Linked DNA regions of Mytilus edulis. The protein of the gene in region 2 purifies or fractionates together with the protein of the main gene of each other region. This does not show direct contact. Links are inferred from orthologs where the notes say so. Each region holds a gene or a part of one and is shown on either strand. Other genes may lie near its edges.

What was found. Proteins that work in one complex are often made in the same cells at the same time.
Region 1: the proteins of (E3-independent) E2 ubiquitin-conjugating enzyme-like (region 2) and putative RNA-binding protein Luc7-like 1 purify together in Homo sapiens (affinity purification with mass spectrometry; 3 studies listed by BioGRID and IntAct, counting the BioPlex papers as one, with this or other methods). This does not show direct contact. The link is inferred for Mytilus edulis from reciprocal best matches to the Homo sapiens genes UBE2O and LUC7L2.

What each region holds. Positions count from the first base shown.
Region 1 is NC_092352.1:56,820,289-56,827,248, forward strand, and holds the start of putative RNA-binding protein Luc7-like 1, read right to left. Parts: upstream 3,016-6,960; 5' UTR 2,895-3,015; coding exon 2,834-2,894; intron 1,886-2,833; exon of another isoform or gene 1,814-1,885; intron 1,488-1,813; exon of another isoform or gene 1,424-1,487; intron 435-1,423; coding exon 340-434; intron 1-339. UniProt on the Homo sapiens protein: May bind to RNA via its Arg/Ser-rich domain.
Region 2 is NC_092352.1:21,626,226-21,633,073, forward strand, and holds the start of (E3-independent) E2 ubiquitin-conjugating enzyme-like, read left to right. Parts: upstream 1-3,818; 5' UTR 3,819-3,881; coding exon 3,882-4,085; intron 4,086-6,848. UniProt on the Homo sapiens protein: E2/E3 hybrid ubiquitin-protein ligase that displays both E2 and E3 ligase activities and mediates monoubiquitination of target proteins. Negatively regulates TRAF6-mediated NF-kappa-B activation independently of its E2 activity.

The DNA.
Region 1 (6,960 bases), about 35 Mb from region 2:
CTCAAAGATGTCTGCATGTACTTTGGTTCCTCTGATATCTTCTTACTGAAAATTTGCACCTCTTTTGTAATTATTCCAATCAGTATTTACTAATTAACCACACATTTACTTGCTCTTTTAATAGGGAAAATAGGGATGATACATTGCCTCAATAAAATTGTATATACATTTATCAATTGTCAAAACCAATTGAAAAAACATTGTAAACATGTTTTTCCAAATAAAAAAAAAATGTGTTCTACATGTAGCTAACATGGCTAAGGAAACCCTATCAAACTTTATGTGGGATGTACGTACCAATTTCCATGTCATGTTTTTCCATTATATACAATCACTTACCGTGCTAGAAAGAATATCGTGTGGACAGCAGCTTAGCAGGAAACTCTTACATACCCGAGGATCGTCAAACTTCACTTTGTATCTGGATCGATCTCCTAGAAATTATATGATTCGACAAACATGTTAGAAACTTAGAAAATTCAACAAATTTTACACCTTGATATTTTGCCCATTTTATAATCAGTTCGCATAATGACTGAATGAAATCTTTTGTATTTTACAAATAACAAAAATCTTTGTAAAGGAATCAAATCTTTGTTTTCCAAATTGACTGGTTTTCAGAAAAGAGGTGCCATTATGTACATTAAGTGTACACATTCTTTTTACATTTCAGAAGCCAAAACATTAGTTCCTTGTGTTGTGTCTAAAAATATCATTATGCCAACTGTTATACATTACTATGATAATTAAGCATTACAAGTTGCAAACTATTAGTTCTAATGTTTTTTTTGTTACCAAATTTTGCAGTACTTCAATATAGAAAACAATTTAGAATATCATAGATTGCGACATGTACTTTTATCTATATTTCTGTCAAAAGATTTGGCTTTTAAAAATACACACAACATATCTGCTCTTGCAATAAATTGAAAATAATTGATATGTTAAGATTTATTTATTTAAAAACATTTATGAACCATACAAGTACTTACAGTTTTACTGGTGACATCCAATATCCTTGTTCTCGATTAAAAAAACTTATTCATATATTGTACAAAAATGTTGTACAAAGGATTCATGTGTTTTTTACAATACCACATCAGAATATTAAAGTAAACTATACATTTAATCAAAGTAATTAAGTTTTCAAAGTAGCAGAGTTTAGTTGTTCCTTATGTTTCTCCAAGTTAAATTTGTACTTATCATTCAAATTTTTCCTTTTTGACAAATTTATGAACACAGAAATTTTTCAAAATCAAGTTTTAGAAACAAAGGGTAAACTCTGTCCTATTATCATTTTTACTGTTCTAAAAGCATGTTTGATCACAACTTCTGGTCATAATCTTGAAACATTAACATAAACCAAATCTTTTGACAGTATTTTCAAACATTAGATTGTTTGTACTTTACATATTATACACACTGCGATCCTTTTATCATCTGTCAGTGGCATGCTTTTTTCTTAGTTTTACACCTTTTCCTCTCACCTGCAACAGTAAAGATTCCTCAAAGCTGCCAACATGCTCATTAATTAAGTGTAGAAATTATCAAATACATTTCAGTATGCAATATTGGCTTAATAAAAGTTAAAGTTTACATATTAAACATTATAAAGTTACCTGTTATAAATTTACCCTAAAATTACCTGTTAATAAATTTACCTTTCTAACATTACCTGCTAACATATTTTACCTTTTGATAAATTGACTTGATTTATGCTATTTATGAGAATGAAAATTTATTAATACATGAAATAGACAAAGTTACAATAGAAATAGTACTCTGCAATGAAAGCTATTTAATTTCAACTCACGGCTTGGACTTCATCACCTTAAAACCCTTGGCAAATTTGACTGCAATACACCTGACCATATGAAAGGGGTCCCTTGAAAAATAGGGATGCAAATTATTAAAACCCATGAATTTATTGTATTTCAATGTGTAACTGTTTGCATAAAATATTAGAGTCATACCATTTAAATATTTGAAATACATGCAAATATTTGAAACAAAATATATTTTCTTTAAACATGTAAAATGAGAACAAATGCAATATTTGATAACTTTTATTAATTATGACTGTTTTATCTCAAACTACAAGATAAATTCCAGTCTGAAAATCTCTTACTTTACCTTATCACTCAATTAAAAAATATATTTATGTTAGATACATTTGTAAATACATATTTAGCGTGCTTTTAAAGTAATAAAAAATATGTATAAAACAGTTACACATTAAAAAAATCCTGAAAACAAATGTTACTGTAAAGCAGACAACTAAAGCATTTGAATAAAAACATATACCAAACCACTCATAGAAATGTATACAACTCTACATATATAAAGTGAGAGGTACAAACTACATTTCAATTCATAATCATAGATAGACCGACTTTAATAATATTTCATATTTGATTCATCTGACAGCCAAACTTATAATATATAAGTATTAATTAAATTTCTTTACTTCAAACATAAGTTGAAATTTAATTTCTCATCATTTAAAAAATCATTACTATCCCGAAAAATTAAAATGTGACAAAGATAACAATATACAAATTTCTCAAACAAGTTTTAGTTATCTCCCCTTATTAAAGAGGTCAAGGACGCCAAAAGGCAAAACAAGATTTTTTGCAAACACAAGTTCATAAACGAAAACAGTGCAACAAATTCTTGTTTTCTTAAAATTCTCAAATTGAACATTTTGTATTCCGACAACCATGATATGAACATTTAGAAAATAAATTTTAATGGCTTGGGTCGGAAGGCTTTTCAAATCCTGTTTGCTTCCTGGTTTTCATGCATGATTTTGTCCTTAGAGTCTTCAACATACCATCTCTTGCTGTGCCCATCAGCTCATCCAACATCGCCCTCATTTGTTCTTGGGCAGACATTGTACTGTCTATTTATTTTTTGTCTACAATGAACGTCTAAGCAAATTATATTTCAACAACTACACATTCATGGCGTCAACACGTAGGCGGATAGAGCGCCACCTATCGAGGACTGTTTAGAAGAAGTCGTCCTAATCCCGGTATTGTACCCTAAATTCTGGATAAAAAGTATGATTATTTTGAGAATATATCGAGTTACGTCTATGATTTTATTATTCCTGTCAGGTAAATTATCTTTATGAGGTATATTGTAAATTCATGTCTCAATAGATTAAAAAACGAATTTACTGTCAGAAATCTGTTGATCCGTCTGTATTGGATATAAAAAGTAACAGAGACAGCGGACAAGACAGAAGTGCGTAGACGTTAAAAAAACCAAAACACCAACAGTCCGATGATAAGTACTATATATCATACCAGAGACATATTATATGTCTCTGATCATACTCATAAATATATTTGAAAATCTCATAAATTTCTATTCTCAGTAACCTTTCAACATTAGTATAAAATAAGGAACTTATGTAGTGGTATGCTTGCAAATGAGAAGGTGGCAACTATCTTCCACTGTCCATTAATTTGGCAATGGTCTTTTTAAGTCTAAGGGGACGGCCATTTGATATTCGATTTTTTTAAACTCACGATCAAGTTCATAACAAGATTACTAGATTACAAAAGGAACGCAACACTAACAGAATACAGAAGGGCAATCAATGAACGAAAGACAAATAAATAAGAAACATTGATCCGAAAAATCAGGGCTACGTCTGAGGGAAAACAGAACTTGCTTCTTGCAAGGCACTCGCCCTGAACACAATTTGATATGGAGACAAGCGTTTAGTTTTGAAATTTCCTACATGAGGCATTTGCCTCAATGTAGTTACGGCCCTGTTATAATAAAAGTGAGGTTAGGTTTCCTGAGACAATATATTCTTCAAGTTAAATGAAACCAATTTTCAGACATTTCAAGTATATTTAAATAATATTTATACTTTTATTATTAAAAAGATTAGGAAGTGTTTCCCCGATTTTTTTGGGGGGAAAAGATGAATTTATAAAGAATCTGGTGCCATCTCATACTTTCGATTAGACCTGCTGAGTTATTTATTTTCAATACATTGCAAGTCAGGTAATTTATTTTCAAACTACCACAGAACAAACCATTTATTTTTGTGATTATGAAGGCTGAGTTATTTATTTTCAAAATCCTCCTGATCCCCCCCCCCCCCCCCCCCGAATATAAAATGGTCGTCCCCTAATATACAATCATTGAAAAATCTAAGATAACATGTTAAAACAGTTTTGTAAAAATTGAGACCCGAAACATACGACTAAAACGACGTTACGTTATGATTTGTTTTATTTCACAGGTATTCAGACTTTTTGGGTTGTATTTTGATAAATAAAATTTAATTGATATAATATTTTGATAATATGCTGTTCTCACTTTAAAATTCATAACATTCTTAGTTTTTCATTACAAACAAGTAATTAAAAGCTCAGTCTAATTAAAATATAGATCTCTGATTGCCTTTTCCTTTCATAATACGAACCGAGGGTGCGACTGTTGATAGATCTGAATTTTAATCAGGTTGAGGGGTCATCGTGGGGCCTTCAAAATGAGCAAAAACCCGACTTTATCGCATAGAAAGCTAAAAAAAACACGCTTACATTACAAATTTACAACAATTCAAACAATATACTAAAAGGGGTATCAATTCGACAATTTCAATTCTTTAACCATGCTTCATTTTAACAGACATTGAATACACGTGATTTTGGTTTACATTCGTGTCCTTTATGATGTCAATTACCTTTGGACCAAATTTTATCTAAAGGATTCAGTTTCTCCGAATTTTTAATATTCGACGACTTTTCAACAGAACCGCGTTATCATCGAAAATTATTCCATCCACTACAATGACTTCTTTTTCAAAGCCGCCATAGTCTGAAAAAAATGTGACAGGAGCAAATTTGTTGGGAATGTTGAGATTTACATGATGTCCACTGTATACAGACTTTTATAGAACTCATTGCTCTTATCCAAAGGACTTATCATATTTTTTTTTGTCTTTTATCTCGAAAACCGTAATAGATAGACAAAAACATTAGACGTCAAAAACGAAGATGATGACAATTCTACAAATAAGTCAACTGAAGATTCAAGATTCAAGATTATTTATTTCTCAAACACCATAAAATTACAATGGTACAAAGAAGTTCATCAAAAGTTATATAACATAACACAAACACACATGACAAGATGAGATGAAAATATCAAATCATATAAAATAAACAGTATAGTAGCGAAGAGTGGTGATTAACCAGGAAGACTCACTTGAAAAGTTATAACCCTGATAAATTTGCACAGCTTTTTCAACTTATTTTTAATTTTTAACTGAAATAGTTTTTCAAATTTTAGTATGTTACATCTGTGCAAGAAAAAAGTATCCAAATATTGGGATCGAAAATTTGCCAAAGAACTACACTGCAAAGTGTAATGAAATTCATCGCCAATCTCGTTACAATAACATAAGTTACAATATCTAAGGTTTCGCTCAATCTTATTCCATCTACCAGTTTCGATTGGTAACTTATGGTTACCCGTTCGAAATCTACAATATGTTATTCTATCTTTATCACTTAAAATATTCAGATATTCCTCAAATTCAAAATTTTGTTTATACAATTTGTAGGCCAAACCTTTTGACGAACAGTCAATATCAGCTCTCCATTTCTGTTGAAACTGATCAGATAACTTTTGTTTTAAACTAATACCCAACCACTTTGGATTAAAATTTCCTTGTGACAACCATATATTGCTGTATCCACATTTATCTAATATATCTTTAACGTATTTCAACCAATCTGACCTAAATTGGTTGTCAGAACTTTTCAAGAACATATATTTGTATAGTATTTTAGCAATCCTGTTATCATCCCCATTTACCATTTTTGACCAAAAATTAACCATACGCAGCTGTATATATAAAGACATGGGATAAATACCAAGTTCACCATAAATCATAAAATTCGGTGTCGACTTCTTAAGGTTTAATAATAGTTTACAAAATTTTAAGTGCACTTTTTCTATAATATCAGTATTACTGAAACCCCAAATCTCACACCCATACAGGAGAATTGGCTTAACAATTTTATCAAAAAGATCATATTGTGATTTCACTGACAAGTTTAGTTTCCAGGTACTGCAATATTCAAAGAATATATCTAATTGCAACTGTAGATCGGATGCATTATCCGAAAATAACACTGTATCATCTGCGTACAATAACACAAACAGTTTTAAGTAGATATCAAACTCTTCTCTATTTCATCAGTAATACAATTTAAACCACATACATTTTTTTCTTCAATAAACTGTTGAAGATCGTTCAAATACAATGAAAATAAAAAAGGAGACATATTTTCACCCTGTCTTACACCGATATTGCATGAAAAGTATTCTGACATTTCACCATTATACACAATTCGAGATTTAATGATCGAGATCTTCATTGACAACCTATACTGAAGTTATTCGGCCCATAAATGAAGATTTTTCCAATATTTTTGCATTGTTGCCTATTATCTCAAAAACTATAACAGATAGATAGGTACTTAGATGCTATATATTGTTCAGTAAGCCATGATTTACAAATAAGACATGACAAAAATAGGAAGTCGACTCGTTATTGAAGTTTTTGCATTTAAATAAACGATTTTTCGGTTTTTCTACATATTTGCTTCTGACATGAGAAAAAATTGAAACAATTTAAAAAACTAATCGCCTAATTCATAACAAAACAATTTACGAAAAACAAATATGACAGACACGGACTAACAACAACCACTGAACTACTTTTCCACTGATTTTTATATTTGGTTCTTAAGCTTTTTATGTTACACCACTGTCTCAGATTAAGATGAGGGTTTTTCGCAAACAAACTAGTTCAACCCCGTCACGTCCTGCATGTTTGTGCTTGACCAAACTCAGGGGAGCGCATCGATCGTTCGTTGTTGCTGTATTTCATATTTGTTTTTCATTCACTGTTTTGTAAATAAATCA
Region 2 (6,848 bases):
TGATGTTTAATGATCTATTCCATGCGTCTTCGTCTGTCATCTTTCAACATAAATATTTGTTAAAATCGAACCATAAACGCATCATGAAATTTCATATCGCACATGCAAAAAAGAAGCCATAGATATTACTGAAAAACGATCTTTTAATATGAAAATATTAAATATGATACATAAAAATTGACAAGAAATTGATGATTTTTGCCGTGAACTATAGGTTGATTTACACAAAAACAGTGATATACGGACAGTGTAAGAAAGTTGTAACAAATTGTTAAGACTGATTGAAAAACGATCTATTATATGAAATATACATAAAAAAATCGATTGAAAAACGATCTATTATATGAAATATACATAAAAAAGTGAAGATTTTTGCAGTGCAGTGGGTTGATTTACACAAATACAGTGATTTACGGACATACACACTATAAAAAAGTTGGAACACATTGTTAAGTCTGATTAATAATAAAATAAATCAGTTGGTACGAATTGACAATTGACTTGGTACGAATTGTCCAAATCTGGAACGAACTGGTTTGGAACGAATCGGACTTGGAACGAATTGACTAGCATTCACCTATCTACGCACAAATATAAAGTATGAAAAGTCCATTCTAAAATAAACGCATCATCAAAGATCCCAAAGGACATAATCATTTGACATGATAATATTACCAATAATTCGATATTATAAGCAAACGATATTTTTTTTTTAAAATGGTGTGAGAAAAAAAAATACATATTTATAACGTACAAATGTATGTTAAAACATGGACAGTCTATACATAGTGATACTCTTTCAGTTTGAGTAGATCATAAAATTTCAACTAAAATGTCACCAAGGATATTCACGGAGCTCGAAAAGATTTTTATTTATGATTGCTTTGATAAATTGGATAATACCAAGGACGTATAACTAACTATATATAACTAATGCATCATCTAGCCATTGCATCTGCCCATTGCCTAGTTTTATCTCAGGCCTACTGGGTGAACTCGAATAGTCAAACCCCATTGAAAGACAGTTACATACAGCTTGGCAATGCAACATGGGCAATGCCTAGAAAGAATTAATTATAGCTAGAACATTTGTTAATTTACCAGTATTTATACATAAAATTACTGATCTGTTTTTTTTTCATTTTCTAGTCCTTCTGAGTAAGTTTACTTCCTAACTATTAGTAAGTTCTACTAAAATGGCAAGTTATCCCATGAACAGTAAGATTACCATCAATAAATTGGGAATGGTACTATCTTGAATTTTACAAAATGTGTCAGAAAAGCACAACAGGATGTTCATATTTTTTCTACACTTTACAGCGTTTATTTTTTACTTTTTTTACTTTTTTTTTTTTTTTTTTTATTAAAAACTCATCTCAGACAGGGACTTTCTATACAGGGACTTTAATATAGAAAGTCCCTGTGTCAGACTACATGTAATATCATACACATTGCGTAATATTACTGTTACTCTCAGATTTTATTGACCAGTCTATATCTTTACTTGGGCTCCAAGGACTCCTCCAAGTGCACGTGATCGGAAGTGTTTTGATTGAAAATGAGACATTTTTGCACCAAAGAACAAAGGACTGTCACAAAACCCGAATTCAACAATCGGCATAAACTGTATCAGCTTATATAATTGTAAAAATGACTAAACCAAAGCGCTGTTAATTCAGTTCATCTTACAAGTTCATAATTTTGGACCAACAGCATTAAAATACCAGAAAATAAACATGGCTAAGAATAAAAAGACAAACAGACAAATAATAGTACAGAACTTAGAAAACTAAAGATTAAACAACACGAACCCCATCAAAAACTGGGGGTGATCTCAGGTGCTCCGGAAGGGTACGCAGATCCTGCTCCTCATCTGGCACCCGTCATGGTTTTTTTTTATTTTATTACAAATGCGGTTAATAGTCTAAATCGGAAGGTCACATTCGTGAAAAGGGGAGGGTTACGACATAAGGAACATATTATCCGATATCATCTGTGGAACGGTTATCCATAACGGTCAACCGACTCGTAATGGCGTCCGTAAAATTTACGAAGGGATGATTTCAAATTCACCATTTAGAACTCTTGGTTTATTAGCTTCAATGTGAGCAGCAATCATCTATCAAGGAAATCATGATAGGAAATACACATGCCAAGAAATCCTCGCTAAAAATTCCGGTCGACCTCCTACGGCAGTCATTAGTAGCTAAAGATTTTATTTCATTCAAGAAATTAATTTATGACCTTCATGTACTACGTGTCGCTTAGAACACGGCCAAATACGAAACGGTCAATATTAATCATCCATGTAATTTGCTCTATGAGTTCTTTGCAGAATTTCAACGGAGGCAATTTCTTGGCATGGGAGAAAGGAAGAAAGACTATTCACAATTTGTCTCACATTTGTTTTTCTCTTTTTTAATTAAATAAAAAAAATAAACCTTTTAAATATAGAAATCATAAGAGACAAATATTCCCTGTGGACTCCCCCCCCCCCCCCTTTTATTTGTGCTTTCTATTTTCAACCCTCGAATTAAGCTTTCGAATCTAATTAAAACCTTGCTTTCAAACCAATCTATTCATGTACCGGACCGGCAACTTTCTTTATTCAATACGAAAATCTACAGTGTTGTTATACACATGCATTTTGTTTGCTTGGAGTCCCCGCCCGAAAACTGAAAGAAATAGCCTTCAAGAAATTATTTATGACCTTCATGAACGTGTCGCTTAGAACATGGCCATATACCAAATGGTCAATATTAATCATCCATGTAATTTGCTCTATGGGTTGTTTGCAGAATTTCAACGGATGCAATTTCTTGGCATGAGCCCTTGAACATCGTATCAATTGGGCCGCATATATACTCCGTATGCAGGCGCTGCTGAAATGTTGCTACATAGAAATGGAAAGTTCACAATTGGGAAGCTGAAATCATCTCTTTTGTCGTAAAGTTTTATTTTCAACCGACCCTCATTGTCAATTTCTACATACAAGTCAACTCAAGTTATGAGAAAGACTTAACTGTATTTGTAGCATCCTTTATCTCTAGTTCGATGGGATAGATTTGTTTAACATATATTTAAATAAATGTTAAGGGGGTTCGCGGGTCTAAATCATTTATATAGGATTTCTCTATATTTTTCTATAAATGAACTTTATCTTAGAGTTAACAGAAAAATAAAATAAAAAAGTGGGGTCACAGTTCATTTGCGCTCACAATCTGCCTTCGAAAGAAGCATACATTTTTGTTAAGGTGTTTTTTTTCTGTTGAAGTAATAGGAGAAATAAAGGTAATATCGAAAAAAAAAGAAAGAAATTTATTACAGAAATCGCTCAAATTTTACAATAATTTAGTTTAAGTACAGCTTATATGGAAATTATATTAAAAAATATAGGTCACCGATGAGTTAAAAAAGATATTTCAATTTTAAAGCCAAAAAAATGGCATTTTTCCACCAAAGTGAGATAATTTGGAACTTTTTCAATGATGTATACATTTTAAAAGTCATCTGGGGCCAACAAAAATTGTTTGTTTTGAATGATTTTTGTACCATATGATAAGTAACAACTACAAAAGGTAACAAATAAAAATTTGAAATGAAAAACAAATGTTTATTTTTTTTCTGAAATCTTTTATACCCTCGAGCCTCCTTAAATTATTTAACTTCCCAGTCCACAAGTCACTGGATAGTCAAACAAATTATGCAAGGTCGACTTGATTGGTCATGGGCTAAATATTCAGTTGAGGAAAAATATTGTTAGTGATATTTGTTGAGCGTCTGTTTAGTACAATACAATAGGAATGTTCCGAATGATATTCCCGCAATTCTCTGCTCTTGCCTTTCACTTTTCTCATCTGAATCAATTTCATGCAGGCAGGATGGCGCAGACAGATTGTGCCATGTTTGAAGAAGATGAAGTATGCAAGCGATGTGAAGACAAGATCATCTATGGTATTGTTACTGAAAGTTCAGAATACATCAGCAGTGACGAAGAATACGATGATGATGAATTGTTAAGTCGTGGAACAGTTCGAATAATCTGGCACCCAGATGGGAATGAAACTGTCGAAGAAGAGAAAAAGGTGAACGTTCGAAATCACAAGGCCAAAACTGCATAATTTATTAAATATAAATAAGAAGCCTTTGTTATTTAGCTTACAGATTGTCATAAATATTGGACATTTATCCTTTATCTATAGGTGTTTTTCTTCTTCTGAACGGGGATAGTTTCTCTTTGAGTAACTTAATAACTATAGTACAACCTGTGACTTTTCTTAATTATACCTACCCTCTTGTATGGTCAACATCAAATGGTGACCATTTATTGGAGTATTAAATCTTGAGATATTGGCTATTAATTGTGGTCATAAAACATAGGTTGATCATGTGGACAGCTGGTTGATGTTAAATCTAATTATGCAATACAATACAATACAATATTTTATTAACGTCTCACCTTTTACAAAGCAATACATAACACATTGATTAAAACAAATTACACATATGTAAAAGCCATTCATATAGAATTATGAGAGACGATTATTTACACATTAGAAACAAATTTCACACCGCTTAAATTATGTTACCTGTTGTTGAAATCAATCTGGGTTGTAATTATCAGCTTGTATGTTCCATTAAATTAACTGTACAGGTAACTCATGTTTCTTTTAAAATTTACATTTTGAGCTATTGTTGCAATTGTAGAATAAAATGTTGATTTAGTCTTTGTTAATCTATATTGAGTCATAAAAAAATGGGTTAATCTATATTATTTGTTGATTTTTCTGTCTTCATCTTTTTTTCTTTTTTTTTTTTGTATCTCTCACACTAGGGACAATTTTCTAGTGTTAAACATCTTTCTGCTAATCTTCATTTAATACTTCTAATGGCATGTGTAATGTTCATGAACAAATGCAGCAAGTTTCCCAAAAGAAGAATGGTCTTAAACTGATCTTATATTAAAATGATACATGTAGAGAAACTTTAAAGGGTCTCACTAATTAGCGCCAAGAAGCGACAAGAAGCAACAAGAAGACTATTTAGCGACAAGAAAACATTTTTTTTTTATTAAATATAAACATGATAAAAAAATATGCATTTTTTTTTAATATACGGGCAGAAATAAATTGATAATTTTTTATTATATTGATAGATGAAGAAATTTAACATTTGTGAGGAAGAAAGGGATGGTGTAGTTTTTATCAAACATAAAGAATATGTTGAAGATATTAATGTGTGTAACGTAAGGGTACTCAAATTGCACTGAGTACCCAAATTGCACCTATTTAGAAAGAAATAGCAACGGAAATCTTACAAGATTTCCTAGAGACTAAACAATTTGTATTTTTATGATTTGATACTATGCACGTCTTTCAACATAGGTAAACATATTTAGATATACACAAAACGTTCACAGTCTTTATCAACAGATGGACTGTTTACTAAAAAAGCAAAATGTACGAAAACGTCACCATGCGACGTCATCAAAACGTCATCTTTTTAAAATTAGCAAATACAATATATTAAAGTATCCATTTCGTAAAATATGAAGAGTAAGCATGGACTAATATCCAATTGTTCAAAATATTTGAAGAAATTAAACAAAAGCTCGGTTATTAGACTTTTGACGATGTGAATTTAAGCATGGATGCAATTTGGGTACTCCTCATTACAGAATCATGGATAGTTTGGAGGTTGATTCAAACCCATTTTTTTATGACTCAATATGGATTAAAAATCAAATCGGTGTACCTATACAATAAAGAAGGATAGGGCTACAAAATAAACCCAGTATGGAAATTTTTTTCCTGATCATAAAACAACATAGGTGAAAAAACTGTCAAAATAGGTGCAATTTGGGTACCGTCACGTTATCTGTTTTCAATAAAGTAAGAGTATGAATAAACGAATAGAGTGGGCATAATAGAATATAATCTCTTGATTCATTTTCTTAATGCTATGTTATGAGTTTTAATCGCCACAACTTTTATTATTCATGAGCAATTGACAATAGTTACCTAAAACCCTGCTCTTTAAAATCTGGAAGTTTTAAACAGGTTACCACACAGTCATTTTGTACATTAAGTTGTGAAAAGTAGATCTTATTCCTTTTATCATGGTTGTGGATTGATTGAAATAAAATTAAAAAAACACATGGCCCTTTATGAAGTTAAAAGGTTTCTTAGTTCTAATCATTCAGCAAGATCCTTTTAGTTTCAAGCAGGCTAAACATATAGATTTTACAATTGCATTGAGATTGATGAATTATCTCCGACTCCTGACAATTAAATTTTCGAATTTGATTGTCCAGGGTGAAGAAATACTTCATTATAATTTTATTGTCTCCAGACATTTTATAAATGCTAGAACTTAAATTTTAGTTGTACCATTTGCAAATAATAAGCCTTAGGAAAATGAACATTGTTCATGTATATTGAAACATGGCAGCCATTTCTTGTGACACATTAGTCATTAGTATTATTCATTTATTTGAAGTCAACCATATACTCTGAGGAAAATATTTGACTTCATGAATTCTGAAGTTTCTTGTGAATCTACAGGATGATATTTGACATAAATGTATATTTTATATGTAACATTGGTAGACAGATCCTTGATGCCAGGAGATGTTATAAGATTTACATGTACAGTGATATTGTTTGCTTTAAATTTCCGGAGAATAAAGGCTTTTTCCCCTGGAGAAGAATCCCAATTTGAAAAAAAAATGGCTTAAAATTATTCCCAAAAAGACAAATTTTTTCCCAAACAGTGCAGTCTCAGTAGTAATTGTGCATGAATACAAACTGAAAAACACTAATTTTTACATTTTTCATGCCTAAAATGAC